Struthio camelus: one gene and its partners. The protein of the gene in region 3 interacts with the protein of the main gene of each other region in a pairwise test. Links are inferred from orthologs where the notes say so. Each region holds a gene or a part of one and is shown on either strand. Other genes may lie near its edges. The genes, in order: FAM3C, GPR25, CREB3L1 and PGAP2.

Evidence for each region.
Region 1: the proteins of CREB3L1 (region 3) and FAM3C interact in binary tests that used the Homo sapiens proteins (3 or more experiments, as listed by UniProt). The two-hybrid records come from large-scale screens. The link is inferred for Struthio camelus from reciprocal best matches to the Homo sapiens genes CREB3L1 and FAM3C.
Region 2: the proteins of CREB3L1 (region 3) and GPR25 interact in binary tests that used the Homo sapiens proteins (3 or more experiments, as listed by UniProt). The two-hybrid records come from large-scale screens. The link is inferred for Struthio camelus from reciprocal best matches to the Homo sapiens genes CREB3L1 and GPR25.
Region 4: the proteins of CREB3L1 (region 3) and PGAP2 interact in binary tests that used the Homo sapiens proteins (3 or more experiments, as listed by UniProt). The two-hybrid records come from large-scale screens. The link is inferred for Struthio camelus from reciprocal best matches to the Homo sapiens genes CREB3L1 and PGAP2.

The regions. Positions count from the first base shown.
Region 1 is NC_090942.1:26,047,947-26,055,523, reverse strand, and holds the start of FAM3C (protein FAM3C), read right to left. Parts: upstream 3,009-7,577; 5' UTR 2,874-3,008; intron 2,654-2,873; exon of another isoform or gene 2,537-2,653; intron 1-2,536. UniProt on the Homo sapiens protein: May be involved in retinal laminar formation. Promotes epithelial to mesenchymal transition.
Region 2 is NC_090965.1:4,031,838-4,039,183, reverse strand, and holds the start of GPR25 (probable G-protein coupled receptor 25), read left to right. Parts: upstream 1-4,339; 5' UTR 4,340-4,838; coding exon 4,839-5,942; 3' UTR 5,943-7,346. Other genes in the region: uncharacterized protein, read left to right, coding at 31-225, 746-782, 1,668-1,812, 1,921-2,062, 4,087-4,263. UniProt on the Homo sapiens protein: Orphan receptor.
Region 3 is NC_090946.1:40,126,517-40,134,502, forward strand, and holds the start of CREB3L1 (cyclic AMP-responsive element-binding protein 3-like protein 1), read right to left. Parts: upstream 3,006-7,986; 5' UTR 2,944-3,005; coding exon 2,836-2,943; intron 1-2,835.
Region 4 is NC_090942.1:224,221,345-224,228,629, reverse strand, and holds the start of PGAP2 (post-GPI attachment to proteins factor 2), read right to left. Parts: upstream 3,018-7,285; 5' UTR 2,958-3,017; intron 1,856-2,957; 5' UTR 1,687-1,855; intron 1,550-1,686; exon of another isoform or gene 1,531-1,549; 5' UTR 1,521-1,530; coding exon 1,356-1,520; intron 1-1,355.

The DNA of each region.
Region 1 (7,577 bases), on a different chromosome or scaffold from region 3:
ATTCATAGCTCACTGTAAAAATTTTCGAAATTTGTGGATAATATCAAGATGCAGGGAACTACAAACAAATCAAAGGAAAGAATGAGAACTACAAATTATCCAACTTCTTTTTTTTTTTTTTAAAGAAAAAATTCCTTAGGTCCTTTCATAATCCATATCCCACTAAAAAAGTCTATATTTGGGTTCATGGTTCAGCATCGATTTTTAGAAGACAAAGTGGGAAGGCAGGAGCATCTATTTATATGTTATAGATGTTTTAACATCCATATTGAAAAATCTGGTGTTAAGAGATGTTTCATGCAGCAATACCAGTTTAAAGTTATTTCCCTCTTGCCACTTTTTCCCACTCTCATGTCACTAGGCCTCAGGCCTGGATAATACTACAAAGCATAGAAACTTGGGAGACACGCTGATCTCATCTGCCAGGTTGTTGCTGCTGCCAAAAAAGAGAGTCACACTAAACCTTTTCTCCAGCCCTGGCCACATGGTTTTGCTCACTAAGCAAGAAAAAAAAAAGCTAACTTAGTGAAAGAGAATGAATACATTTCTGCCAGTCTAGCAGACAACTTTCAGGAGCGGTAGGGAGCAGAGCACAGCACCATTAGGCTGTTAGATTTGCTCAGCCTTCTCATGAAGCCTCACTGTCAAACTAGGTTTTCTGATGGTATTGCCAATTATATTTTTCCTGAAGTAATCCTGAGAATTTATAGACTGCCTCGGTTTCAGATAAATATGATACTTCCCAGAGAGATCCTTCTAGAATGCTAAAGAGTTGTAATTAATTCCAGTGCTACTGACAGCAAAATGATTATCACAGGGTTGTACAGCAGGCCACTGGCAGAGAAAATGTGTGATTTACAATAACTAAACCTTAAATTCTAAACTTCCTTAGCAGATTTTAGTGGAAAACTCAAAACGGAATATCTATACCATTTATACTAAGCCTTAGGGAGATACTGGTGGCTAACATAAGTGATAAGGCTTGCAGTCCTTACACTCCCAGGTCACCCCTTTGATTTCATAGGGAATGCGGATTGAAAAAAAACAGAAATCTAAACAAACAGATTCTATCTGAATAACCCAAGGCTTAAGTAAGAAGTTCTCTGTGTCTGCTAAAGATTCATCTTATGGACACTTTAGGCTATAAAATAATCTGTAAGCAAAACGATATATATTTTTGTGACTTATACTGTACCAATCCATCTTGTGATCTTACAGGAAAAAATCCCTCTCCTTATGCTAATCTTCTGGAAAAAAAAAATTAAGTGTTCAATTACAGTTCACATTTTAAACATTAGCTTGGCAAAAATTCATTAAACTCTCGAACTTTTTCTATATTATACCTCTTTCCTTACAGTGCTGAGAGAATTATCATTAAATGTAGAATTTCAATGCCCTGTCCCACTAGGGCTGCATCTAGAGATGCTGGGCAATAACATGTGGGTAAAGCCAGGCTATTTCCTCAGTTAGCTACTTACTCCACACTCTTACTAGATGAGATAGTCAGATCTGTTGTAAATAGACAGAAAGAGAAGCAATGGCTGCAATAAAACCACATACCTCCTCCATCCTTAAGTGATTGGATATTGTTACACAATGCTAAGCTATTAACTTGTAAAGCGTCTGTCTTCAGGCTTCAAGCAAGTTTCAAAACTTGTTTTGCCAAACAGACAACTATGCAAGCCAACAGATCAAAAAGACTTCTTCCCTCAAAGAATCCCTCTGCGGCCAGGGGTCATCCTGGGCCTAACGAAGTGAGTTGTACCTTGATTACCCTCACAGGCTTTAAGAAGGGACAAATATGCACAGGCGTTTCATTTTTTCTAAATAATTCTACTGTTAGGGTTAAATAATACTTTGGTGGAGAAACAGAACTGCCAGCTATGTTCACCTGCAACAGAGAACCATAGATTCAAAGCCTGTATGGACTTATGGGGAACACAGAATAATACAAAAAAAAAAAAAAGCCATGTATATACAAAGATGTTTTTAAAAGTCATGAGTTGCTACAATATCGTTTAATCCCATTTTAAATTTGAGAAAATTGAAAGAAAAGGAAATCAGGCGAGTTACACAGCCTGTCTGCAACTCAGACAAAACCATAACTGAAGATACGGTAGCACTTACCTACAGTAATGAAAAACAGATAAAAGGATTATACGTTTTCCTACATCACAAACATCAGAAAGTAGAAACCAAAGAAACACACGCTACTTCTACATCTACCTCCCCGCAGATCTAGACACGTAGCACTTTCTCCTTGTCCGTTTCAGGACGGTCCTCTACAACACTGTAATTTAACGTTTGAGTTAAACACGGGTTGATCCTTTTAACTCCCCCGTCAGCGATGCCCATGATCCACTACTCAACAGTGCGCAACGAGGGAACAGCAAAACCAATCAGAAAGAAATACTTATACACGTATGTACATATACACATATATACATATACACACACACACATATATATACACTGTGCTACTACTTTGTGGCAACAGTAAAAGACTGACTACAACAAAAACAGCTTGCTTACCTACCTACACCGGGGCACTTAACCACACGGCCAGGTGACCCGGCTCCTCGCCTCCCGCTGCCTGCGCGGCGGCTGCCGGAGCCGGAGCCCCAGCCGCCGCCGCCGGCCCCACGCTCGCAGGTCAGGGGGTGACGAGCGGCGGAGCGGCCCCGAGGGGGCAGCAGGGCCGGGGGCAGCCGCGGAGACCCCGGCCCGCGGCCGAGGGGCGCGGCGGGAGCGGCTGGGACAGCGCCAAGAGGCAGCCGGGAGCGGCGGCGGGGGCCGCGGCCGGCTCCGGCGGCAGGGGCCGCCCGCGCCGCACGGAGGGGGCGCAGGACGCCGCGGAGGACGCGGCTCCCTACCTGGGCTGCGCTGGGCGGCCGCGGCGCTCGGCGTCCCCGTGTCCCTCGGCGGCCGCGCCGGCTCCCCGGCCCGCCCGCCCGCAGCGCCCGGCGGCGACGGAGCAGGAAGCCGAGCGGTGCCCGCCACAGCTGCGGCGGCAGACAGAGAGGAAGGGGCGAGGCGGAGCGGCGCGCCCGCCCCCTAGTGGTGGCGGACCGGGGGCGGCGCGGCCCCGCCCCGCAGCCGCGCCCCAGCCCGGCCCTCCCGCCCCGCTGCCGCGCTCCCTGGCGCAGCGGGCGGCGGGTTGGCGGCTGCCCTCGAGGCAAAAAAAAAAAAAACCCGATAGACGCGTTTTTTGGGGGCGGCGACGTGAGTCCTGACGCCCATCACTAGGTCCGTGGGCGAGCCCGCCTGGCCTCGGCTTCCTTCCACGTCCGCAGGGTCTTTCTGCCCGTCGGGGGCTGAGGCGCGGGGGCCGGCGTCGCCCCCCTCCCTCCGCTGCTCGGCCACGCGCCCTACGGCCAGGGCTGTGCGCATCGTTTCTAGCTGCTGTTGACGCTGGTGCCTGCTGTAGCAGCGTTTCGCAGGGGTGACAGCGAGTTCTTCGACAGCTTAAGGAAACCCGACCTTCTAAATGTGTGACCTCCGTCACGCCCGCAGGTCCACCGCCGTCCGTCTGGCTACCAGCCCAGCTCAAACAAGGGGGAAAAAGTGTGCTAGGTACCTCTGAAAATCAGCCTTAAGGCACCTAGTGTCACAGGCTAGGAGGAAACAAGGGCTAGAGCCAGGATTATATTGGTTTTCCGGGCCGTCTATCCCGTGTCTGTCGCGGTGGGTGAGCTTCTGAGTCAGACTCATAACATGGGTGAAACTGGTTGAGTTTTAGGAAGTGGGCTTGTGGGGGAGAAGGATGAAGAGTTTGCAGATAAAAAGCACGAATTTCATCTTTTCTTTTATATTTTAAGCCTCTTTTAACCCAAAAGTTATTTTCTGTTGCAAAACAGGGAAGGTATTGTCTACTTTAAAAAAACACATCTTTTATTTAACCTTTTTGATCAGTAGGACGGAGCTGATCTAACTGAGTTATTGCAAAAGAAAGGAAAAGGCAATCCCTCTCTCCTCTTTGTCTCCACCAATGCTCTGTGGCTGCTTTTTTTTTTTCTTCTTTTCTTGAGGGGAGGCACTGGTCATCTAACTCTGTCGTGAGCTGGTACAGGGAGATAAGCTGACAGCAGACTAACCGTTTTATTTTGTGGGAGAGAAGTTCTGTCGATGTAACTCCCTCAGCCGGACTGTTGCTGGGGTGTGTATAGCAAGTACTCAGACTGCAGATAGCCACGTTCGGTCAGTTAGATTATTGTCAAACTACGAAGGGAACGTTTTTGCAAAATAGGTATGGTAGTTCTTAGTCACAGCTAAAATATAGGGAATATCACACATCGTCAGAGTCAAATAGACAAAAGGAAGTTTCTTATTTTAACCACATCTGGTCAACAGATCTTTCTTTTGACAAGCTTAAAATAACATACTCTGCTACCAACGGGCCCTTGGTACAGAATGGTTGTTTGATCATCAGTCAGGTAATTTCTTTATTAAATTCTTGCAACACACTGAAGATTCAGGCATACTTTAATCTCAGAATTAATGAAGAAATACACAGTGGGTGGAGCATTACTCAAGCAAGAAAGAGTTTATAGCTTTTATTTCTAAGTATTTGATATAGATATATCTTAATTTGACAGTTATTTCGGTGCTTAACATATGAAAGTCCACCTTGTTCTCCTGATTGCCTGTCAGGTCGCGCTACCACGTAACAGACTAATAAGGTCAGCGTGTTATCAGAGGCTGGCTTCTTTGATAAGTAAATATTTGCTATAGAAGCAAACATTTTCAAGAGATTACATAAATAGCAATATCAAATTATTAAAAGAGGAAATATTGTTATCTGCACAGTAACCAACACCTTAAAATACATCTGTATCGAAGTCAAAGAAATAAGGAAGACTTGAGAAAGGCCACAATTAAATAAAGGTCATTATTTACCTGCCTGACTGAACGGGTGCCACAACTCACACAGGGAGTAGACGCACGTTTCTCCAGAAGTTCCCCAGAAATATGGCAGCTGGCAGGAGCCCAAAAAAAGGGAGTATTCAAGACCTCACAGTGTCTTAAGATGGCTCTGAATATTAAGTATCTCTTCTTGCTATCGTTTACGAGGTTCTGCAGAATCTGAATTGCTTTGTGCACAGTGTTGTGATCTGAAGTTAGGCATCTATTACTGACTCATTAATAAAAAAGTACAGTAACACTTTGATAAATCATACTATACCTGAACATGATAACAGTACAAGTGCAGCCTTTGCACAAGTACTTTTTATGATTTGTTGCTCCGTAGCGAAGTGCTTCTACATTATGGTTGTCACAGCTTACTGGCATCACTGGGTGATTTTTAAACAGCAAGTGACCCTGATGGGATCACCCTCGTTTGATTCCAGTGTGCAGTGCTCTGATCGTGCTCTGATCACATACAAGCATCACGGTGCCAAAGATACCATTTCTATGCATCACCAAAACTCCCTCACAAAGCGGTCGGTTGTGCTTCACGTTCCACTGGTTGTAGGTGGTGAGCACACCTTACTAGCTACAGTAGATACATCCCTGTAAGTACCTTCCTTAATGTATTCTATTGGCTAAGCAGCACCTCCCTAGGTTTGGTATATCTAAAAAGGCCATCAATTGTATATGAAGCCAAATATGAACAAAATTATTAGAAGAAATGTGCCCGGGCAAAGCAACAGTAGCCTCTATGGGTTCGGCTGAAAGAAATCTGTTTACATGATTTACACTACTAATTCAAAGAATCATTTGTTGTTTGTTGAGTCTGATACTCTTTTGCCTGTTGTTTATTATTAATGAGATTAAGCAATTTCAATTTTTTCTAATTTGTCTTGTAATGAAATGGCTATGGCCATTAAATATAGAACTTCCATAAAAAGTAAAAATGAAATCTATCTCTTTAGGGTTTTTTTTTTTTTTTGCTTCTTACTCGCTTGTGATGAATTTACCATTTTTGCTTCTGTAAATTAAGAAAGTCAGTAATAACAAGGATACCACATGGAATACGTTTCATAACCACATAATGAAATTCTAAATTTATAATTTTTAAACCAAAAATTGTTATATTTATTAAAAATTATAAAGCAAAAAATAGCTTGTTTGTATCCTTCAACCGTTAAACACTAAGAAAAAGCTCCACAGTAAGCATTTATTTTGGTTCTGTATTTTGCAAATATCAGAAGCCAAAGTTCCTTAAGAATTGAGGTGCTTTGGGTCTCAACAAAGTTGAACTTCACGGTTGGGCCTATCACCATGATAAGCTGAAAAAAATGCCTAAGCTGAAACTCACATCTTTGAAGAGTTTCTTTCCTAGTATCTCTAGCATTTGACCTGAACTTACTTTCTTAAATCTCTCATAACTACTAGTTTTTAATAAAAGAAATTATGGCACTGCACTGTTTTTTTTTTTTTTAGAAAATGATAACAGTGCCATCATATAATTACAAAAGGTTAAGTGAAGTGATACCTGAGTTTATTTAGTGCACTAAGACTAATGGAGATTAATGTAGTAAAATACCAAATCAAAATGCTTCCAGGTACTTCATCTTTAGGCTTCTGACTACTGCCTCTGGCAATAGATATTCTACTAATCAGTTATGATTTTCTGATCTGGTATCAGAGCAATTCCTGATGTTTTTTAAAAAATACATTTTTTTGGTAAGTATAAATTTGACATTTATATGCTATAAATTAAAACTTTTGCCTCGGTGGACCTTTCCATGGAGTTTTGAATGAGCCAGCCATTAGACTACTGGCAGACACCTAGTTCTCTTAAGCATGGAAAATTTGTGGTATAACAAGTTACTTCTCTCCATGCAGCAGCACAATCATAGAAAACACTTATCTTGGCATCTAATACAATAAGTATTACATTGCCTAAAGTAAAAAGATGCAAACCCTAAGCATCTTTTATAAGTTATTAAAAAAAAGAAAAAAAAAGAAAGTGAAGAAAGTTGCTTAGAGAATGCTCCAGGCAATTTGCCTTGAAGCAAATGGAAAATGTGTTTTTCACCAAGTTGCAAGTCACTTGAACTATAAATAGAAACTAAAATGTAAAACTACAACATGAAGTGACTTAGGCTCTCTCCTCTTTCCTCTCCTTTCCTCTTCCAAACAAGCAAAAACGTGTATGGAAAAGTCATCTCTGAAAGACCATTTTATTAGCTTTCTGGCTGGTGTCAGCAAGCTTTATATAAACAGAATGAGCCTGTGTCTGAACAAAAATGTATTATTCAATATGTGCCCTATGGTGTAGCAGATATTTGCAATAGATATGTTCTCTCTTTAGTGACCTCTCCCCCCGTTCCTGTCAGAAGTGAGTTTACAAGCAGCCAAAACATCAGATTTATGATATGAGAAGTCTGAGTGACAATAGATAGAAAAAGCAGGAAGTAATTGAAGGATCTGAGTCCAGGCGAGGACTTTAAACACTTCAAACCTTTCTTGGTGCTGATGTGCTAATCCGGATCAGTATTTTATAGATCTCCCCTTTTTCTGTAATAAGTCAAAATAAACTCCATGTCATTACCAAAGCATTACCAAACTTTCAGGTCTGTTTTTTTTTCTCTTTATTTTGTTTCATTTTTGTTCAAGTTGAGGACTTATGG
Region 2 (7,346 bases), on a different chromosome or scaffold from region 3:
GCCGCCCAGCAGGGCTAATCCCGGGGCTTAATGGCTTTCGCGAGCGGAGCAGGGGCCGCGCGGGCCGGCGGCGCTGGGGAAGCTGACGGGGGCGGCTCGCTGGGCCCCCCGCACCTGGTCCGTGCCCTCTCGGCCCCTGCGCGCCCCTGGCCCCCAGCCTCACGGTCGCCTGGTGGGACAAGGACCGCCGGCGGCGGGTGCATGGGGCTGTCGCAGAGCAAGCAGGTGAGTGGTGGCAGGTCGCCGGGACGGCCTGGGGACAGGGACGTGCGGGGGAGCCTCTCCTGTGCCGGGGCTCGGAGGGGAAGGCATGGTAGGTCCTGTCTGGCCACCCCAAGACCTGTTCCCAGGCACTGCACTGATGCCCCAGAGCCCAAAGTCCGGCTGTCCCCTTGCCATCCTTGGGTTCCAGAGTTAACACAGGGGCGGATGTGGGGAAGAGTGAGGGGAGCACTGGGAGACGGGAGGAGTGGGGTCAGCCTCCACTTGATGCGGGACTCACTTGGTGTCGGTGTACCTACACCTGGAGCGGGGCTGGCGGGTGACTCAGTCCCCTTGGGTGACAGCCATGGTGCAGCTGCCCCACACTGGCCCCAGTGAAGTTGGCTTCCCGGGGAGCCCATGGCCGTATCCTGTCCCGGTCCACGGGGCAGGTGGTGATGGGCAGGGACCCACAATGTCCCCCTCAAAACCTGCCGGGTTTCACTCCATGGCCCTCTCTGACCTCGTGCTTCACCTTCGCCAGGGCGGCTGCAAAGCCACGAGGAGCAGCGAGGTGCCGGGTAGGTGCTGCCGGGGCTGCGGGACCCCAGGGGTGATGGAGACCCCAAGGGGCAATGGGGACCTGAGGGGCAATGGGGACATGAGGGGCTATGGGGACCCAACAGGTGATGGGGACACCAAGAGGCCATGGGCACCCCAGAGGCAATGGGGACCTGAGGGGCCACAGGGGCCCAAGGGACAAGGGGACATGAGGGGTGATGGAGACCCAAGGGGGTGGTGGGGACCTGAGGGGCAATGGGGACCCAAGGGGCCACAGGGGCCCAAGGGACAATGGGGACATGAGGGGTGATAGAGACCCAAGGGAGTGGTGGGGACCTGAGGAGCAATGGGGACCCGAAGGGATGATGGGGACCTGCAGGGTTATGGGGGCCCTGAGGGGCCATGGGGACCTCAGGGTGTCAATAGGGACTCCAAGGAGCAAGGGGACCTGAAGGGTGATGGAGACCTGAAGGGACAATGAGGACCCAAAGGGCGATGGGGACCATGGGGTGGCCTGGGGACAGGGACAGCAGGCTGGTGCTCTCTGGAGTGGGACCTGTCCTCTGGAGTGGCTCTGAACCCCCTCTGTAGTGCCCTGGAGGTGACCCCATCCCTTGGTAACCATGTCCCCTGATGACCCCATCCCCAGTGACCCTGTCCCTGTGGTGATGCTGGAGATGGGCTCTCCCAGTGACCTCATCTGTCAGTGACCCCATCTCCTGGTGACCCTCTCCCCAGGAATCCCATCCCCCTTGGGCCTCCATCCCCCTGGTGACCCCATCACCAGGGATGCCATCCTGTGGTGACCCCTTCCCCTGGTGGCCCTATCCCCTGGTGACCCCACTGGCCTGGTGACCCTGTCCCCAGGGACCCTGTCTCCCAGTGACCCCCACTTTCCACCCCAGAGGGTGACAGCAGCCATGGCCTCACCCCAGCCCCAGCTGCTGATGGCCACGGCGGCCTCATCCAGCCAAGAAAGGTGCCAAACCCTGTGCGGGAGTCCCGGCGCCATCGGGAGCTGCACCGGGAGCTACTCTTCAGCCACGGGAGGTGAGTGGGGCCAGGGTGTGGGGCTGGGGCATGGGACAGTCCCCGAGCAGGGCCAGCGGAGTGGCAGGGCTGGCCACCGCAGTGGGGCCCATCCCGCCGTCCTCGCAGGGGGATCCTGCCCCGGCACACGGCCGAGCTCCCGCGGGCGCTGGAGAGCCGGCGGCTGAGGCAGCGGCGGCAGGAGGAGCAGCGGGAAGCCACCACGGACCTGGAGCAGCAGCTGAGGAAACGGCAGCAGAGGCTCGAGGAGGTCCGTGCCACCCCTCTGGCCCCCTCCGTCCACCCTCCTTCCTTCGTCCCTCCGTTCTCCATCCGCCCCCCTCCATCCCTCTAGCCCAGCCGTCCTTCCTCCCTCCATCCCTTCCTCCCTTCATCCTTGCACCGATCCCTCCATCCAAGCCTCCACCCGTCCCTCCTTTGTCCCTCTGTCCATTCCTCATTGCCCCAGGGGCTGGATGCAGGGGTGGCCGAGGGAGGCTGGATCTGGGGGACGGCCGGGGGAGGCTGGATTTGGGGGACGGCCAAGGGAGGCTGGATTTGGGGGGTGGCCGGGGGAGGCTGGATCTGGGGGGCGGCCGGGGGAGGCTGGATTTGGGGGGTGGCCGGGGGAGGCTGGATTTGGGGGACAGCTGAGGGAGGCTGGATTTGGGGGACGGCCGAGGGAGGCTGGATTTGGGGGGTGGCTGAGGGAGGCTGGATCTGGGGGGTGGCCGAGGGAGGCTGGATTTGGGGGGTGGCCGGGGGAGGCTGGATTTGGGGGACGGCCGAGGGAGGCTGGATCTGGGGGGTGGCCGAGGGAGGCTGGATTTGGGGGGTGACCGAGGGAGGCTGGATCTGGGGGGTGACCGAGGGAGGCTGGATTTGGGGGACGGCCGAGGGAGGCTGGATTTGGGGGGCGGCCGGGGGAGGCTGGATCTGGGGGGTGGCTGGGGGAGGCTGGATTTGGGGGGTGGCCGAGGGAGGCTGGATCTGGGGGGCGGCCGAGGGAGGCTGGATCTGGGGGGTGGCCGAGGGAGGCTGGATCTGGGGGGTGGCTGGGGGAGGCTGGATTTGGGGGGTGGCCGAGGGAGGCTGGATCTGGGGGGTGGCCGAGGGAGGCTGGATCTGGGGGGTGACCGAGGGAGGCTGGATCTGGGGGGCGGCCGGGGGAGGCTGGATCTGGGGGGCGGCCGGGGGAGGCTGGATCTGGGGGGTGGCCGAGGGAGGCTGGATCTGGGGGGCGGCCGGGGGAGGCTGGATCTGGGGGACGGCCGAGGGAGGCTGGATTTGGGGGGTGACCGAGGGAGGCTGGATTTGGGGGGTGGCCGAGGGAGGCTGGATCTGGGGGACGGCCGGGGGAGGCTGGATCTGGGGGGTGGCCGGGGGAGGCTGGATCTGGGGGGTGGCCGAGGGAGGCTGGATCTGGGGGGTGACCGAGGGAGGCTGGATCTGGGGGGCGGCCGAGGGAGGCTGGATTTGGGGGGTGGCCGGGGGAGGCTGGATCTGGGGGGCGGCCGGGGGAGGCTGGATCTGGGGGGTGGCCGAGGGAGGCTGGATCTGGGGGGCGGCCGAGGGAGGCTGGATCTGGGGGGTGACCGAGGGAGGCTGGATCTGGGGGACGGCCGAGGGAGGCTGGATCTGGGGGGTGACCGAGGGAGGCTGGATCTGGGGGGTGACCGAGGGAGGCTGGATCTGGGGGGCGGCCGAGGGAGGCTGGATCTGGGGGGTGACCGAGGGAGGCTGGATCTGGGGGGCGGCCGGGGGAGGCTGGATCTGGGGGGTGACCGAGGGAGGCTGGATTTGGGGGACGGCCGAGGGAGGCTGGATTTGGGGGGCGGCCGAGGGAGGCTGGATCTGGGGGGTGGCCGAGGGAGGCTGGATTTGGGGGGTGGCCGAGGGAGGCTGGATCTGGGGGGTGACCGAGGGAGGCTGGATTTGGGGGGTGGCCGAGGGAGGCTGGATCTGGGGGACGGCCGAGGGAGGCTGGATTTGGGGGGCGGCCGAGGGAGGCTGGATCTGGGGGGTGGCTGGGGGAGGCTGGATCTGGGGGGTGGCCGGGGGAGGCTGGATCTGGGGGGCGGCCGAGGGAGGCTGGATCTGGGGGACGGCCGAGGGAGGCTGGATCTGGGGGACGGCCGGGGGAGACTGGATTTGGGGATTTGGCCAAGGGAGGCCTGTTGGAGGGAGGCTGGATCCGGGGAAGGGCCGAGAGGGGGCCGGGTCGGAGGACAACCGAGGGGGGCCGGTCGGGGCCGTGGCCGCCCCCGACGCCGACGCCGGCCCCTCTCCCGGCAGCACGAGCGGGAAGCGGCCCTGGGCCGGGAGCCGGAGCGCCGGCCTGAGTTCCTCCGGGTCCGGCAGAGCCTGAGGCGCATCGAGCGGTGGCCGGAGGCGGGCGGCCGGCGGCCCCCCGGGGATCAGCCCTCCGCCGCCGCCCCCCTGCCCCGCACGCCTCCGCTCAGCGGCCTGTAAATCAACCGAGTGTGGGCCGGTTGCCCGAGCGCCTACGAGCCCGTTCGGGGCGAAACGGGGCCGCGGCCGCGTCGGTCCCTGGGAGCCGTGGGCTCCCCCAGCCCCGCGTCTCGCCCCCGAAATGAGAAAGCCGGGAACCCCTTGGGATTCGAGAGCCGCCGCCTGCCCCAAACTTCCCTGCGCCTTCCCCCTTTCCCCAGCCTACGAGGCCTGGGAGAGAGCCAGGCTGGGATGGCTTTGTGTCCACCTGCGGCCTGTGGCCTTCACCTGCTTCACCTGCCTCCACCCCCGCCTCCTCTGGGGGTTTCTTTCCTCTCTCTGTTTTTCTCATTGTTTTTCTGTTTCCAAAATTAAACGCGGCTCACCTCATACCCTCCGGCACCCTTCCACCCTGCAGCCCTTGCCCCCGTACGAAAGGAAGTGCAAAACACTGTTTTGAGCAGATTGCAGATCAACAACCAAACCACTGGGCGAGGTGAGCACCGCCCAGGGCGGCTGGGGAGGGGGCACGGCACCGCGGGGCCCAGAGCCGCCGTCCCTGCCCGCACTCGCGGCCAGGCGCTGGGGATGCCGACATGGGTCCCCAAGCAGCCGAGGACTTCGTGCTGTCCGCAGACTACGATTACCCAGTGGGGACCAAATCCACGGGGACGGAGGAGCGTTTCTCCAGGTGGGAGTCGTCCTACATGACCGTCTTCATCCCCATCCTCTACTCCTTCATTTTCCTCCTTGGCTTCGTGGGGAACCTCTTTGTGATCGTGCTGCTGGCCAAGAAGAGAGGCAGCAAGAGGATGGTGGATACGTTTGTGCTGAACCTGGCTGTGGCCGACGTGATCTTCGTCTGCACCCTGCCCTTCTGGGTCGTGGCAGGCGCCCATGGGAACCGCTGGCAGCTCGGGGAAGGGCTCTGCAAGGTGAGCAGCTACGCCATCACTGTGAACCGCTGCTCCAGCATCCTCTTCCTCACCGCCCTGAGCGTGGAGCGCTACCTGGTCATCAGGAAGGTGCTGGATACCAAGATGACGGGGTCCAAGAGGCACGTCTTTGTCACTTGTGGGCTGATCTGGGTTGTGTCCCTCCTCCTGGGTGCGCCGTCCCTGGAGTACCGGCGGCTAGATGGAGATGACTGTTGGGATGAGGATGGGGAGGATTTCAGCCTGGCAATGGTCTTCCTCACCTTCCTCCTGCCACTGGCGGTCATCTTGTTCTGCTACTGCTCCATCTACTACCAGCTCCACAGGCACATCAGGCTGGGGAAGGGGATGAGGAACTCCCACCGGATCATCTTCACCATCGTCGGAGCCTTCATCTGCTCCTGGCTGCCCTTGAATGTCTGCAAGGTGTTGCTCTTCTTCATCGCGAAGGGGATGCTGGTCCTCTCCGAGGTGGAGGAGGAGGCCTTGAGGTGGGTCGTCACCAGCAGCACATGCCTGGCCTTCATGAACAGCTGCGTCAACCCCATCATTTACACCCTGATGGATCGCCATTTCCGGCGCCAGCTGCTGCCCCCGGCTCTCCGGGTGCTCTGCCTTTCCCCCGCAGAGAAGGGGCACAACATGGCCACGACGTCCTCTGTGACCGAGTCCAGCCTCATGTTCGGCGTCAGGACCAAGCCGTCCGCACCGCCGGGGCGCTGGCCAGCAGTGCAAGAGGAGAAGGATTGGGGGCCAAACGAGTAGGTCATTTGGGGAGGGCTGAGCTTGAGCAAGTGCCTGGGCTTGTCTACCTTCCTCATCTCTTCAAAGCATTGCAGAGAGAGAGCTGCGGGGCTGAGGGAGCGCAGGATGAGCCCTTTCTGGGGGGGGGGGGTTTCCTGGCTCCAGCACAGCCCTGCGCCACAGATTCGGATGCGTTTCCAAAACAGCTGCTAAAGTTGGTCCCGGCAGGTGAAGCTGCAGCTCCCCACACCACGGGTTCGGATGCTTTTCCAAAGCGGCTGCTAAGCTTTGTCCCTGCCGACTTCCCAGGGCCTGCCCAGGGCATCACCGGGGCCAGGCAGATGCCGTCGCAGGCGCAAGGTGACGGTTTCCCAGAGCCCAGACCCGTCCCTCCGCAGCCGCCATCATTTCAGACCTGCTGTGTGATTATGAGCTTAATTAAACCAAGCAGCCTTGGGTTAAAGCCATTGCGGGTGGCATCAGCCCCAGCACGTGGTGCAATTCCTTGCATCGATTCCACTAGCTGCTGAGTTTGTGTCTCGCAGGGCTATTGCTGCTTTTGTGGGATTGCCTCTACTTCTCAAATATATCGATAACACGGGCGGAACAACTGCAGCTGTGATCATACAACCCAAAACGGCAGCACTCTCTCTCTGTTAAGTAATCGTATGATAAAATGCTCTTAATAAGCTTAGCAGGTTAAAAGAAATAAGCTTGCAAGCAGGAATCTGCGTGCCCACTTTCAGCATTGATTTCGGTCTTATGAACAGCTATTTTTATAGCCTGCTTGTGGAATAAATATGTTTTAATGCTCAGCTGTGGTTCAGAGAAGCTTTGCCGAGACCGGGGCAGATGTCTATGGGAACCGCCGCTTTCGGTGGTGGCACTTGGCAGCCTGGCCCCGGGCCGCTTGTGGAAATTTTGAGCCACGGTTACTCGATTAGAAACCATTGCGCCGGGCTTTTTGAGACGGGCTTTCTGCAACCGTGCCCTTTCTGCCGCGGCTTTCCCGCGCCCGCCGATCCCGGGCCCTGGCCGACGCAGGACGGCCACCTCCGCCGCCTGCCTCCTAAATGCGCCGCTTTGCAAAATGAGCTGCCGTTTCCCAGCACACAGCCCACGGGGGACAGCCGGGGTGCCCGGGCGCGGGGACACGCGCTCTCGGAGGCGGCCGACGCATCCCGGCCACCTCCGCGCTGGCCCCGAGCGTGGGCATCGATGGGAGAGCAGCAGCACTGAGGCCGCAAGCGTTTCCCTTGCCTTCTCGCCCCGCGTTTTCCCCTGCCAAACGGCTCTAAACCGTTTTTCTTCCCGTTCACTTTCTCGCTACGCGGCGCCCCGCACTGCCAGGGTTTCCTGCCTTGACCCCCTCGAAGGGGAATAAAATACCATCATGCCAATGAAACAGCAGCATCCACGAGACAC
Region 3 (7,986 bases):
CTTTGCTGAATTTCATGAGGCTTCTGTCAGCCCATTCCTCTGGCCTGTCTGGGTCCCTCTGGATGGCAGCTCCCAGACTTGTTCAAACCAATATTTTTTTTTTTTCTTTTTCAAGCACATGGACCTCTTTAAGGATGCATCAACAGATGTGCTGTCATTACTTCGGTTTGTCACACCTTCAAATGAACAATGCAGAGAATCTTTTTTTAAAGGACATGATGATTAGTTAAGAATGCTAGCATTCAAGAAAGGAGAGTAGTTCAGAAGAATGTAATTCTCATCCCAAATGAGCACAGCCTCATCAGTAGGGAATATGAAGGTTCATCCATCCTTTCTTTCTTTCTGCTTCAATTCTGAACAGAAGAAATCTTCCTAAGAAAAAGTTTCATACTGGCATTTTATGGCCAAAATTCCTGTTTGAAGAAAAATACTTGCTGAACAATATCTGGAAATGTTTGTTCATCTTTGAAGCAAAGGCACTGGCAGCCTTTGAGCACTACTGTGCATGGTGATGCTCTGCACAGTTCTGTGTAAGAAGATCTTCTCGAAAGATTTCAAGATCCCATGAGAATTGCTGGATTTAATAGCAAAATGTAACTGTATTCCTTTCCACCATGTTATCATGCAGAACTGGAACAAAGAGGGTGATATATTATGTTCTGGCTCATGTATCATCAACAGATTTGATAGCTGAGCAACAGCTACAGAATCTCTTCTATTTATCATACACAGGAAGACAAGGTATCAGCTTGACTCTCATACTCCAGGGAAGTTTATGGTGCTGGCAATTGGGAAAAAAAACCAAAGCATTTATTTTTCTACTTGTAAGTTGAGCACAACAGTGCCAGAGTCACTGCAACCTAATGAAAGTGGAGACCAGAGCAGGCAACTTTGAGAAGCAGCATTGCAAGCAGAAAGGCCATTGAAATCAGGTAGGAAAGAGCCAGCCTCTTCATGATCAGTGTATACTTTAAAAACACTGTCCTGGCAGGTGGCACCAGATGGCACTCTTACACAAAAGCTTCTTTTTCGCATGGTCTGCTTGCACACAGAAGATATATTCAAACTATAAGGAGGTACCCTGTGTGTTTTAAAGGGGTTCCCTGCCTTCTTATTGCAGTCCATGTTGGACCTATATAAAAGGACTGATGTTACGCCCTATTATTTTCATGTAGGTAAGGGAACGGTCCTGGCATAAAGCACTTCTCTATCAGCACAGCTTCATCCACTTTGGATGTAGATGGAGTTAGGGAAAACACAGAACTCATAACAACAGGTCTTTCAGCTGTGAGCAAACAAGGCCTCACAGTGCGAGCAAGCATTCAGTCTCAGGGTGACTTGCCATCGGCAGTTCTAGAACAAGGCGAGAGTCTGCTGCCTCCCGTAGTCCCCAACTGGCATCAGTCCCTGAGGCACAGCAGCGTCTTGGAAATTAGGAGTTGGTGAGATTTCTGAGAGACAGGATTGGCTGCTGATAATCTCTCTTACAGACCCACTGTGTCTCCACACACCAAGTGTGGTACACTTAACATATATGCAAATTCTGCTTCTCTACTATCTCCTTCATAAGGGAGGCAGCATAAAAGGAAGGGCTTCAGGCTTCTGCTTAGGAAAGCAGAAGAGGATTTATCAGGTGCTTAATGGCTATAGCCCCCCTTTCCCTGCCCCCTGCTCCTGTGTCATAGTGCTGGCATCACCCCTACTCCCATTGCAAGGCTAGTGCTCAGAGATGCTCACAGTGCTGCGCTGAGAGCACAGGAGGTGCCAGTATTGTGGCAAGGGAATAACAAGTCAGGGCTAAAATCTCTCTGCCTGGAAGCTTGGTCTGTGGCAGGCACACTGTCCCGTGGCTGAGGCTGCTCGGAGGCTGGGGGAGCCCCGAGTGCAGGCAGTGCCTCTCTGCCGAGCGTGGGAGGATCCCCCACCTTCACCCCAACCCATCCATGATGTGAGACCCTTCCCCTTCCTCATCAGGGCAGCATCCTCCCTGGTAGAGGGGCAGCAAGATTTGCAGCACAAATTTCCACCAAAGACACAGCTCCCATTGCTCAGGCAGGACAGCAAAGAGCCTAGGGGCAGCGTTCAGGGAGCTGCCGGACTCAGGACTCGCATGACTCCACAGAGAGGCTGGGCAGTTTCCTTAGAGGTGAACAATGCCCCTTTGGTTTCTTGGGACCGGCAATACATTTTTCTCCCAAGTCACTCTTCCCCCTCACTCTTCGCTCCAAAGTAAATCCTCCCAGCTTTAACAGGCGGGAGATGCTTCATCTCCCAAATGCCACTCCGCAAAGAAGTTATAACCACATGAAAACAGAGGCGTTGAGCCGAAAGGTCTCCCGACACCACCCGACCGTGCGTGCCTCCCGCGCTGTCTGAGCCGAGCCGCGGCAGGTTGCGCGCTCCCCCTCGGACCGCACGCCTCTCTCCAAGGCAGGAGTCCTTGAAAAGGGCATGTTAGGAAGAATCGGTCCTCTTCCGGCGGGTGCCTGTGGCGGGCAGCGCCGGGGTACCGCGCTGCAGGATGCCTGCGGGCAGTGGGGCGCGGGGCTGGCCCCGGGAGGCGCTGGCCGTGGGCGGCGGGAGGGCCGGCAGCCCGGGTACCTGCCCGCCGCGCGCCGGGGCGAGCGCGCCCGGTGCGCGCAAGCCCCGGGACAGGCACCCGGGCACACGCCGCCCCGGGAGCCGGCTGCGCCGCGAGAGAGGCGCCGAGCCCCGACGCGTGCCCCGTCCCAGCTGCGGCGGGGCCCGCCGGGACACCCTGCCGGGGCGGCCGCCCCCGCCGGGGGCACCGCGCGGGGGCTGCCGGCGGTCGCCGCCGCCCGCTGCGCCCCTTACCACATTGCTGAGGAAATCCGCCTCGCTGAAGTCGCCGAGGTCGAGGAAGCCGGGGCCGCCGGCGGGGAAGAGCCGCTCGGCGGGGAAGGGCTCCAGGATACTGTCCATGGTGCCCGCGGCGGCGGGGCGGCTCCGCGGCTGGCCGCGCTCCGCCGGCCGGGCTCACTGCGGCGCGGCGCGGGCAGGGCAGGGCACGGTCCCGCCGCCCAGGGGCCGGCGGCGGTCCATGGGGCGGCGGGGCCGCGGCCGGGGGCGCGGCGCCGCCGCGGGAGCGAGCTGCCAGCGGGGGGCCGGGAGCGCCGTGCCGGGCCGGGCCGGGCCGCGCCGGGGTCCCGCTCGGGCCAGCTGTCAGTGGCCGGCTCCGGAGGGGCTCGGCAGGCTGCACCGCCCGGCCGGCCCGGCACGCCCCCGCCTCATGAATAGGGAAGCGGCCGCGGGGCGGGACTTGCCTCGCCGACACCCCCTTAAGGGAGCGCGGCTGCCGCCGGGCAGCACCCTCGGCCGGGCCCGCTCCGCCGCCGGGCGCCGCGCTGCAGCCCCCCCCGCGCCCGGCAGGGCATCCCCCGCCGTGCCCCCAGCGTCTGCCCGCGATGCCCCCGCTCACCCCCCCGCGGGGCCCCGGGAAGGGATCTGGAGTGCAGCGAGGAGCAGGCTGGAGGCAAGGTACCAGCCAGCCTCCTCCTGAGACTCCCCCATCTGCCCCAGGACACCAGTGACTAGTGGTGAGGGGCTGGGTGACCCGCTGCCATGCTCAGAAGGCCCTGGGCCACCAGGACCACCGGGAGGGCAAGACCTGCAGCTGCCCGGGGCTGGCTGGGCCACCAGGCCCTGGGGCTGCCTCGCTGCTCCCCGGACAGCAGCGGGTGCCTGAGGGCAAAACAGATCCCCAGCAGTGTGATTTCAGTTTGGTGAACTGAGCAAACCCTCCCTTTAGCAGATCCAGAGATACCACTGCAAGCTGATAGGCAATGGCGGTCTGTGGCGGCCCCTGAGTATCCCTCAGGGAGCAGAGTCAGAAAAGATGGGTCTTCAGAGAGCTCAGTTCCTAAAGTGCAGCCACAAGCCCTGCAGGGAGATCTTCTTGCCATGGCTCTCAATAACAGGCTTGCAGGTGGGCCTGGCTGCAGCAGCCCATCCGACTGCTCTGTAATTAAGGAGCTTCAGGAAGATTATATGGCTTCAGATAAATAGGATTATGGATCCCTGTCCTCTCAGATCCTTATTCCAACCAACACTCAAGAAAACCACTTATAATAATCCTGTTGAAGAAACTCTGATGTTTTATTAATCTGTTCCTGCCTTCATGGCTCCACGAAGGGTGGCCAAGAGTCCCAACTCCCAGCAGTGGCTTTCTTGATCACAAGCATATGGATTAAAAAAAAAAAGACAACAGTGCATCTCTCCTGGGAGAAATGTAGCTAGAAGTTGCCAACAGTGAGGGTCACTGTGGGGAAATGCAGTTCTGAGGCTTGCTGGGGCCTGTGTCTGAACCAGACGCTAGGTTTCCACTGTGTGGCCCTCATGGGCTCTTGCCATGTTCCACAAAGACCTTAGGACTATCACCACTACCCTAGACACTCCTTGGCTGCTCATCACACTAGCCTCCACGTGCTACCTTCCCCACATAAAAGCCTTTATACTGGTACACACAAAGGGCTCTTTCAGTTACATTTACTTTTACCTTATGTTTCAGTCAAGTGTAAAGAGCCTTCAGGTAAAACGGCCAAAGATATAAATTCGGCCAGGATGGAACTGTGCTGCTGTTTTCACAAAGTCAGTTAATTTCTTACGTATATGAGGGAGGAATGGCATTTGGAAATCATCTTCTAAAGAGAGAAGACACTTGCAGTTTCTGCAAAGCAGTACTTGGATCCTATTGCAATAAAATGCTGGGAACAAAACAAAATACGTCTTCTCTGTGAATAGGATCAATGCAGGCCCTGCTCTCCCATCACTTTGATGGGGCATCATGAGCAACTCACACTCTCACGCTTCTGGAATGGCATAGCCATCGCATCCTGATCCCTCATGCTCCAGTGTACCACAATAACTGTCCAATCACTGCCATTAAACAGATAAAATAATGCTGTTCTCACCGGACTGTTCCTCTTTCCTTAATGGTAAAGAAATAGCTTTGTCAACAAGGGAGCCAGTGGGTATAAAGCTGGAAACATAGAAACCTTTACCACTGTAAGATGAGGAGAAGAAATGGGTCCAGACCCTTCAGAAAGCGGTGAATCTCTATCTCCAAGGAAGGTGACAGACATATTTCCTTAAACTTAACAGTTAGAGGAATTCTCAGTTCTGGTGGGGTAGAAGGACCAAGGACTGCAATAGTAATGGTGTTCCAGATGAGGGTCAAGGTGCTACAACGCTTTGTTGTAGAGCTACAACAGGGGAAGCTTCCACCACCTGTCACTAACCAAACACGGATATCACTTCCGTAACTGCTAAGATTTACCAATGAAATTAAGCGTTTGTGGTTCAGGGCCTCACCCAAGTTAACACAAGGAAGCAGGAGAAGTCAAGGCATACACTGTATTTATCCTCAGTGCAGGCAGAGGAATCTGAGACGGTGAGTTACAGCAACTGTTTGCACTGAATGGGTGGCGGTGTCATCAGAAAAGGTCAAGCAAAGTAAACCTGACTTGTTTGTCTGCATTGTAAAGGGAAAATGCTTTGGCACAGTCCAACAGGAGTTCTGTGAAGTCTGCCCTAAAGATTCAAACATCTCAAAAATATGAAATTGTCTGTTCTGAGACCCTGTTTGTATTTCATATATTTAGTACTGAACATAAATGCCTCAGACTCGGTCTACTGAAGCTGTTGCTGTACCTCTGCAGGTGAGGAATGATTGTAACAAATCTTCCTTTTCAATATCTGCACTGCAAAGCTAGTCTGTCCCATCCTGAAGAACTGTGAAGGGAAACCCCATCTCCAGCACTTTTATGAAGCTTTGCAAGAGACAAGTAACACTCTTCCCACGTTAGACATGAGTGCAGTCCAGTAAAGGCAACACAAGCGTAGTTACCTCTGCGTTCAGTGAGAATCACTGCTGACCCTTTGGAGCCAAAAAGGAGAGTTATTTCTGCAGACTAGCAGTTTTGTATTCCAAAAGAGACCTGAGGATAAAGAAAGTGTTGATGGGGTGAAGGGAGATAACCAGAATTCAGAACGATCTGGTGCACCTCACTGGGGTGTACACACTGAGGGCGAGGAAGGACAGGCCGAGTAGCAGTTCTGTGGAAGAGGCCTGGGAACTATAGGGCTTGCAGCGCTTGAACAAGTGTTAACAGTGTCTGTAGCTGTGAAAAAGCCAAGTGCCATGCTGCGATATAAATGCAGAAACCCTCCTACAAACCTTTAAGACATATAAGAGCTCCCCTTCTGCCCTGCAGAGTAGTGGTGCAAAACACAGTGTTAGCCAGAACATCATATCCCTCTGGGCTTGCACACCTCGAGGAAGGTGGGACTAACGGGGCAGAGTCCAGAGGAGGGCACTGAGAACAACTGGAAGTCTACAAAAAAACCTGAGAGAACTGAGCTTCTTTTGTCTAAAGAGAAGAGTCTCATGCCAGCAGTCTTTAGGCATTCAAACAATTGTGGGAAAGAGGAAGGCAATAATTTCTCTCCATTGCCACAGTGAAGGGGACAAGCAGTAACAGACTCACATCCTAGTAAGGAAACTTCAGAACAGGTCATAGAAAAAAATACCTAATGGCAAAAATAGTGACTAGGTGCCTGGGAGGTGGCAACGTCTCTACCACTGGAGCTTTTTTAAAAGCAAGTTCTGCAGACATCTCTTGGGACATAAATATCGCCGATCAACATCCACCCTTCGGGCAGGGGCTGAATCACATGATCGCTCAAATTCCTTTTCAGCCCTATTTTATCTGATTTTATATTTAGGTTTATTTGCAATCTGATCACAGAAAGATTCTGAAAGAGCAACCAAGTATGTTTAGACTGAACAAGCCCCAAACTGACCACAAAGAGGCCCTCCTGGCTTTGCAGCATTTGATACTGCAAATGCACATATATGACCAAGATCATTGCTGATAATGGAATAATCAACCAAATTTTCATAACAAAAGGATCCTACTCTTCTGTGCTCCGTTCTGCCTTGTCTTGCTGCTGCTGCTTTCCTTTATACCTGTGAAGAGAGAGAGAGTAGGAAATGCAAGTCCCTCATCATATCACTTTGCGCTCACTTTGCCTTCACTCTGCGCTGTGGCGGGCAACGCATACAAGGCAAGGGAACCAGACTCTGAGCTTGAACATGTGCACAGCGATCCAGTCCATTTTGCAGCCCACAAAGCTGAAATTTTTGTTTCCCTCCAGACCGAGCCAGGAGGTTTGACAAACTCATAGAGAATGAGTGTTTCTTGAGGAATGTGGGCAAATTGCATATGTCAGTGATTTCTGGTTTGCTGCATGCATACTGCCTTGTTACAGGAGGGATCATCTGGCTGATGTTTGCCTTCATTTTCAGCCTAGAAAGCCAGTATGGGACTGATTCACACTGTTAGAACTGTTTGCTTTGGGGTTCAGACTGGTTTTAGGGACTGCCACCATAGCACAAAGTTTTTACTTCAAGTATGGCAATGGATACCATTTGGTCTGTTTATTTTTCCAGCTTTGGTGATCATATGAATGGAACTGCTGGCTTCTACCACAAGCCATCTTCCTAGCCACTAAGGCTTTCCGGAGCCCGTGCCTTGCAGGCTCCATATTTTGGCCTATCAGTAGTTCTTTCTAGCTGTCCTGCCTTTATTTCTCTCCAGTTCTTCTCTGGATGTGATTACCTCTGGGTATTGCTTGGTGGTGGGTTTGCTCACTGACCTGTGCGCCACAGATTGAGGGAGCAACTGCTGTGCTCTAGGTCCCTTCTGCTCCTCAAGTCCCACCAAAACAAGGTGAGGATGGAGACAGGACTTTCAGCCTAGTTCAGAGGAGAGGTACTGCAGTCGCCAGACAGTCTCAGAGAGTGTAAGACCCATCATACAAGTAGCCACAGATCCAGCATTCAGGCTGCAATTTCTTCATTTGGTTTTTGCGGGAATGATTTAAAAGCTGTGAAAAAGTCAAGACAGGAGGCGAGGAATTTACTGAAACATCTTCTAACAGAAGGTCACTTTCGAGGAGGGATTT
Region 4 (7,285 bases), on a different chromosome or scaffold from region 3:
CCGTGATCTCGTTCGGTCTGGCCGGCACCCAGGTAGAGCTGCGTACCCACAGTCTCCTGTGGATGGACAGTCCACAGATCCACTACCCTCTGCTTGAGGAGGAGCCGGGTCCCACGGGGTTGCTGCCAACCTGCCACCTCCATACGGCGTCCTCTAACTCTGACGCTGGCAGAGGGCGAACGGGATCCCTGTCTGTGCTCTGCACGCCAGCCATGGCTTTAGAGGTCTCTATCCTACCTCTCCCACCTCATCATCTCTTCCCATTTGACAATGAAGGATCCTTGCTTACTTCGTCATCCCCACGTGACGCCTCTGAGCATCCTCGCTGCTCTCCTCCGTACAGATCCCGTACTGCTGCTTGGGAGGAGGGGACAGACCTGCACGCGTTGTTCAAGACACGTCTCAGCCACGGGCCAACACCGGCATGAATGCCGCCCGCTCTGCTCTACTCCTTTCCTAACAACTCCTGGGCTTTGATTGACTTTTTCAACTACTCCTGAGCACCGAGTGGAAGTTTCACGAGAACATCTATCGCTCCCCCAGACCTCACTCCGGAGCGGCGATGGTCAGCGCAGAGCCCACCTCCACCTCATTGTAGGCAACCTCAGGAGTGCCTGTCCACATGCACATCACTTATTTCTCTGCATGGAACCGCACTGGCATTTTGCTGCTCGGTCGCCCAGCTGCGTCCCGCCCTGGACGCAGCCCCTGACAGCCTGCCTCACCCTTCCTGCACCAGCACCTTGCCATCGCCAGCAGTCTTCGTCACCCCACTGCGCACGGGCACAAGGAAGACCACAGACACCTGTAACACCCTGAGGTCACCTCCTCCTGCTGCTGTGAGAGCTGAGATTATCTACTCCTGCCTTTTCGCTAGGTGCTTGTGCAGGCACAGACTTCCACGCTTGTGCCGCGGCTGCTTGAAAGCCTTGGTGAGGAACCTGATCCGAACCCTTCTGGGAACCCAAGAGGTCCCTGTCAACCGGACCGCTCCCAGGCACGCGCTTGCGACTCCTCCAGTGCCTCCAAGAGGCAGGAACTCCTTTTGCCAAAGCTGGGTTAACTCTTCCATGAGACACCATCTTTATCTGCAGCTTCGCTAGTTCTGCTCTCCAGTCACCACCCGCCTGCTCAGCACAGACGTCGGCCAGGCCAGGCTGCGCTACCCTCCATCCCTTTTTAAAAGCGGGAACCTCAACCGCTAGTCACGCGGCATCAGCAGCACAATAACGGAGAGGAACGTATCCAAGGTCACGTATCCCGGCGGGGGGGAGAGCGCGGAGCAAGGCAGGATTCCCGCCGCGCCAGGCGCCCCCTTTGCAGACCTCTGCGTTTGGCCGGTGAGAGGCGCTTACCCCGCAGTGGGTGGCTGTCGTCTCCTGGAAATGGAACAGCAGAGACCAGATCACGCAGAAAAGGAAACCAAACAGCGGGCAGAACACGGTGCCAACAGCCAGCGTGGTGAAACGGAGCCGGAACAGGATCCCATCGCGGTCCAGGGGCAGCGGTACCTGTAACATGTCGACGGACCTGCAAAGAAGAAGCGGAGGTGGGAAGGGGACGGAGCAGCCCGTGGCGAAGTGCAGCCCTCCGCCCCCCCCCCCCAAAGGACGCGGCCCCTCTTTCGGGCTGCGGAGCCACCCCCCGGGGCTCCCGTCAAACCCTGGCAGGGGGGAAGCAGCTTACCAGCGAGGGTCGGAGGCCGGCGGCGGCGTGCCGGCCCCCCCGGCGGCGCTGAGCTCCTCGGCGCGGGGGCAGCGTCTGCCGCAAGGGCTGCGTCCGGCTCCGGCTCCGGGCCGTTACCTGCGCGGCGGCTCGGCCATCGCGGCCGCTCTAGGCATCGCGCTGGGGGGGGCTGCGGGCAAACGGGGGGGGGGGGGGGGGGGGGGCGACGTGAGAGCCTGGCCCGGCCCCCGCGCGGCCAAAGCCGAAAAGCGAATCAGCGCTGTGACCGTCCGAAGAGCTCAACACCCCCCACCCCACCCCGGCCCCCCGTGACCCCCCCTCTCGCTCCCAACATGACCCACCCCCAGCCCCCCCCAGCTCCATCCGTGACCCCCCCCGGCTCCCCACTCCCCCCGTCCCCCCCAGCTCCATCCGTGACCCCCCCCAGCTCCTCACTGCCCCCACGACTCCCTCAGCCCCCTGCTCCCCCCCCGGCCCCCTCACTCCCCCCGTCACCCACCCCCAGTCCCCCCCAGCTCCATCCGTGACCCCCCCCAGCTCCTCACTGCCCCCATGACTCCCTCAGCCCCCTGCTCCCCCCCCGGCCCCCTCACTCCCCCCGTCACCCACCCCCAGTCCCCCCCAGCTCCATCCGTGACCCCCCCCAGCTCCTCACTGCCCCCACGACTCCCCCAGCCCCCTGCTCCCCCCCCGGCCCCCTCACTCCCCCCGTCACCCACCCCCAGTCCCCCCCAGCTCCATCCGTGACCCTCCCCAGCTCCTCACTGCCCCCACGACTCCCTCAGCCCCCTGCTCCCCCCCCGGCCCCCTCACTCCCCCCGTCACCCACCCCCAGTCCCCCCCAGCTCCATCCGTGACCCCCCCCCAGCTCCTCACTGCCCCCACGACTCCCTCAGCCCCCTGCTCCCCCCCCCGGCCCCCTCACTCCCCCCGTCACCCACCCCCAGTCCCCCCCAGCTCCATCCGTGACCCCCCCGGCTCCCCACTCCCCCCACCTCCTCCCATGACCCCCCCAGGTCCTCACTGCCCCCACGACCCCCCCGGCTCCCCCCATCCCCTGTGACCCCCCCCAGCCGCCTGCCACCCCCCCGGCTCCCCACTCCCCCCGTGACCGCCCCCCGGCACCTCACTGCCCCTACGACCCTCCCACCCCCCCGCTCCCCGCCACCCCCCCGGCTCCTCACTCCCCCTTGCTCCCCCCGGCCCCCCGTGACCCCTCCAGCTCTCCGCTCCCCCCACGTCTCCCCCCCCCGTGACCCCCTCGCACCCACCGGCCCCACACGGCTCAGTCCCGCCGCCGCCGCCGCTCCTCCCCGTCCTCCCCTTCCTCCTCCCCCCGCCGCCCGCCTCTTCCTGCCCACCCTGGGCCAGGCCGCGCCCGCTCATCCCTCCTCTTCCTCCCGCCTCCGGCCCCACGCGGGGCGCGGCGGGGCCCAGCGCTCTCTGAGGCGGCCCCACGCGGGGCGCGGCGGGCCCGAGGCCGCTCCGGGGAGGCCCCACGCGGGGCGCGGCGGGCCCGAGGGCTCTCTGGGGCGGCCCCACGCGGGGCGCGGCAGGGCCAAGAGCTTGTGTGTCTCTTTGGTGCAGCCCCACAGGAGCGTACGGCGGCGCCGAAGGCTCTGGGTCAACATCGAGCGCCCCACGGGGACGCGCGTGGGGCTGGAATCGCCTTCGGCCCCGCGGGGCGCCTCCCCCCCCCCGGTGGAGCAAGTGCTTCCCCGCGGCGCCCCTTTAAGGCCCTCGGCCCCGCCCGCTGCGTCACAACATGGAGGCGGCCCGGCGCTGCCGGGTTGGCCAGGCCGGGGGAAGTCCCGCCCCCCAACGCCCCGGATGTAGGGTAGCCCAGTGGTGCGGCTGTTCTGGACCCTTCCTCAGTGGCCGCCCTTCCCCCTCCCGGGGCCCGGCCAATCGGCGCTCGGGTCGCCGCAGGACGCGGCGCGTGGCTGCAGCCAATCAGAGAGCAGCAGCCCCTTCGCTTCCCGTTCCCACCAGGGTGAGGTGGGAGGGGAGGGGAGCCGTCTCGCTTTCAAAGAGCGGCAGCCAATGAGCGGCGGGCGCGCGGGGGCGGGGCCGGCCAATAGGGTAGGCGGGAGCGGCGCGCGCGCCGCGGCGCAGGGGCGGCTGGGAGGCGCGCGGAGCGGAGTGTGACGCAGATTCCCTCCCCCTGTGAGGCGGCGGCGGCGGCGCGGGAGAGGCGAGGCGAGGCCCGGCCCGGTGCGGCCCGGCCTGGCGCGGCCCGGCGCTTCCCTTCCCCCGGCCCTTCGGCGACCCGCGCCCGCGGTGAGCGACGGGGACGGCCCCGGGCGGGCGGGGGGCGCCCCGCGGCCTTTGTTGGGCGGTGCCGGGAAAGGGGGGAGGGCCGGGCCGCGGCTCCACGCGCGGCCCCGGGGCCGGGCCGGGCCGGTGAGGAGGGGGGGAGGCCGCGCTGTTCCCCAGCCGCCTCCACCGCGAAGGGGCTGCGGGTGACCTTCGCTGCCGGTTCGGTTCCGCGCCCCCGGCGGTGCGGAGCGCCCCGGCCGGGCCGGCCCCCGCCGGGCCGTGGCGGTGTGGGAGTTTGTCGGGCTGGCTCCGTGGGGGGGGGGGGCGCGCGGGGTGAAGCCGAGCCCTCCGTCCCCACAACCGCTGCGCGTTTACACGTTACCTGTAAACTCGGCAGCGTAGGCGCTGCCCCGCTTTCAGGGGCTTAAAGCGGTGGGGGTCTGGGAGCAGCGCCACGGGTCTGTTAACGCGGTGTTTAAATTATGTTCAGGTATCTTGGTTCAGGCTCTGTTTGGGTGCGGTTTGAGGCTCGTGTTATGTTGCTGTAAAACTATGGTTAGAGCCCTCTTCTTCAGGTAAAGCAAGGGAATGGCTGCCGATCAGGTGAAGGTTGAGTAGGGTGCAGGACTTGATTTGTGTATCGAGAAGATGTTAGAGGAGCGTTTTGGAAAAAATCCCCTTTTACTAAGCCTGCTATTGTTCTTCACTTCTTAGATGCTACTTCAAATATGCTTTCATGGAATAGTTCCTGAGTAAATTTGTTCGATGCTGTGTTTTAAGTGCGATAGACAGTTGTCTGGATGAGGCATTCCCATACCACTGACCTAGGTTAGTAATGTAACTACTTACCTATCCAAGGCATTAGTAATCTAATGAAGACTGAGCTCTGTTTTTGTGGTAGCTTGTCAAACCTGAGCTTCTGAGAATCGGTAGTTAAGGAAGAGGAGGTGCCAAGGGAGAATGAGGAAGTTTGAAAGCAAGTGGGAAAGCTTGTTTTTAAAGTTTTTTGAAGCTTGCTTGCTTTTTAGAAAGTTATTTCAGAAGGAATTTGAGGAAGGATAAAGAGAATTTGATATTAAACGACAGTCATGGTGTTCGACTTTGAAAAAATAACGGCGTAAACAAGGGAACAGTGAAAGCAGAGGGGTCTTGTGAAGCGAAAATAAAATTGAGACCAATCATAATTGAAATATGGTCTGAGAAGTAACTGAATGTTGGTCTTCAAAGAGATTGACGTTGCCCGTGGGGCAAAAGTGAAATAACTGAAAGCACTGTAGAGGAACGAGTAAGAATGCATCTGAGGTGGATGTAAAATTCAAGGTATGAGAGTGCACTCAGACTGGGAATCCAGGTCGCTTGCGTCTTGGAAGTGTGGAGGGATAGGTAGTGTCTTTTTAAGGTGTGCTAAGAGGAGATGTAATCGCATAACTAACAAACAGAGAATGCATTAAATTTGAAGTCTTGGGAGATAGGTTGGGGGGGGGATGATGAATGTTCTTGGAAGCTACCTACAGTTTTGGTAAAACAGAAAAGTTTAGCTTTTGAAGAAACACAGAACACATGGTCATGCGTTCTGTCCCACTGTCCAAAGCTGGTTTCTGCTGAATAACCAAACGTGGTGGTCTTGGCACCACTGTGGGAATGTGCTTATGGAAGAATTGGAAGTACACTTGGAAGATCGTGCACAATGCCGAAGCTTTGGGAGCGGGCCGTCAGTGGGAGATGGAGTTAGGAGGAATTCTCGTACGTTTTAAATATAACGTTACCTTGCATCCCGTGGAAACGATTGTATTTTGTGACAGGCAACGCTCTATTCCAGGAGGCCGATTTTAGTCTGAGGATTTTCTAATATTTCTTCAAACGAGCTTTTTTTACTTAGCCCCCAATCATTTTACGTAAAGTACTCTTAAAGTGTGTAATGAAGTCAGTAAGGCCTTACGGGTGTGAGTGGGAAGATTCTTAAGGCTACGAAATTTCGACGTGTTATTGGATTTACTAGTGTTTTGAATAATTGATGATTACCCCACGCTTTTCTGTGGGGAAAATACAATAGTTTTGCACTGCTGTAGCTTAGCTATTGCTACCAACAGTGAAAAATCTTCCTAGATAATATTAGTACTTTCAGTGGTGGAAGAATAAAAACATCTGCTAGCCCTAATACAGGAAAAAAGACTGCAAATTGTACTGACTAGATCATGATTGAGGGTGGTGTCCCCCCGCCCCACCCCCAGCTTGATAGTATTGAAAAAGGCATTGCATTGTGTCTGTGTCTGCGCTTGGAAAAGAGTTTGGAGAGAGGTAGCGTTGCTAAGTGTTTCTGCGAATAAAACAGTAGGTGTTGTAAGGGGAAATTGGGCCTCTGCCTAAACAGTGTAAGACCTTAAAAAGCCTTTTAGAAAGTTTTTACTGGAGTTAAGAAAATTTTGATACAATCTGTGAGCAATAAATCAAAAGTTGGTGGAAGGTCTACTCCTGTAATACCTGTACAATGCATTTCCTTCATTTCTTGTGTCTTGTTTGAAGTAGCTGGCAAGTAGAGTTTAATAGAAAATTAGCTGTGGAAGATCCTAGAGTGTCACAGGAACAGCTGTTGTACAATGCAAGTCTTTGTGTGCCTTCTTAAAAGAGCGTTTTAGTGGGGTGGACTTCCAGGCACCACAGGTGATTGCGCAAACATGAGTGTTAGGGTGACAGGAAAGACAAATGTAACAAACTGTAGCTCCAGTCTATCATAGAGGACTGTGCTAAAAGTATAACTCTCCTCTACTGATGTAGGCACCTCCCACACCCATGATGTGCCACCAGTGAGACCTCCGTTCTGTTGATGCTTAGGAGATCCAGACAGCATTGGCAAAATTGGTTTTGTTTTTTTCTCTCTCTTCCCATGAACAGAAAAAACTCTGTAGCCAAGGGAGAAGAAACTCACTGGCTGTCCATGTGGAAGTACAGAAACTTGTGATGAAATCTTGATATGTGTTAGAACTCTTATACCCCAGCGTTACAGAAACAGGCCCCAGTCAGACTGTTAGCAGAATAGGGGGGAACGGTATCACGGTATCCACTCTCTCTGATGTTACTGAGATGCGGCATTAGTCAGCTAATGTTGTACTCTGCTTAGCTTCCTGACTGATTTTGCATGGATTGTTTCAAGGATGCTGAGGTTTTGTGATGTTACTAAAGTATTAGTGTTCTAGACTTATTTAGAATTCTGACCATCTGCATGAACTTAAATCTTGCTCTCATGCATATTATGCCTGGACTATTCAAATTAGATTGCTTACATCAACAGTGAGGAAGATGAAAAATGCCTTTTCAAAGTAAGCTTTACATAAATGCTGAA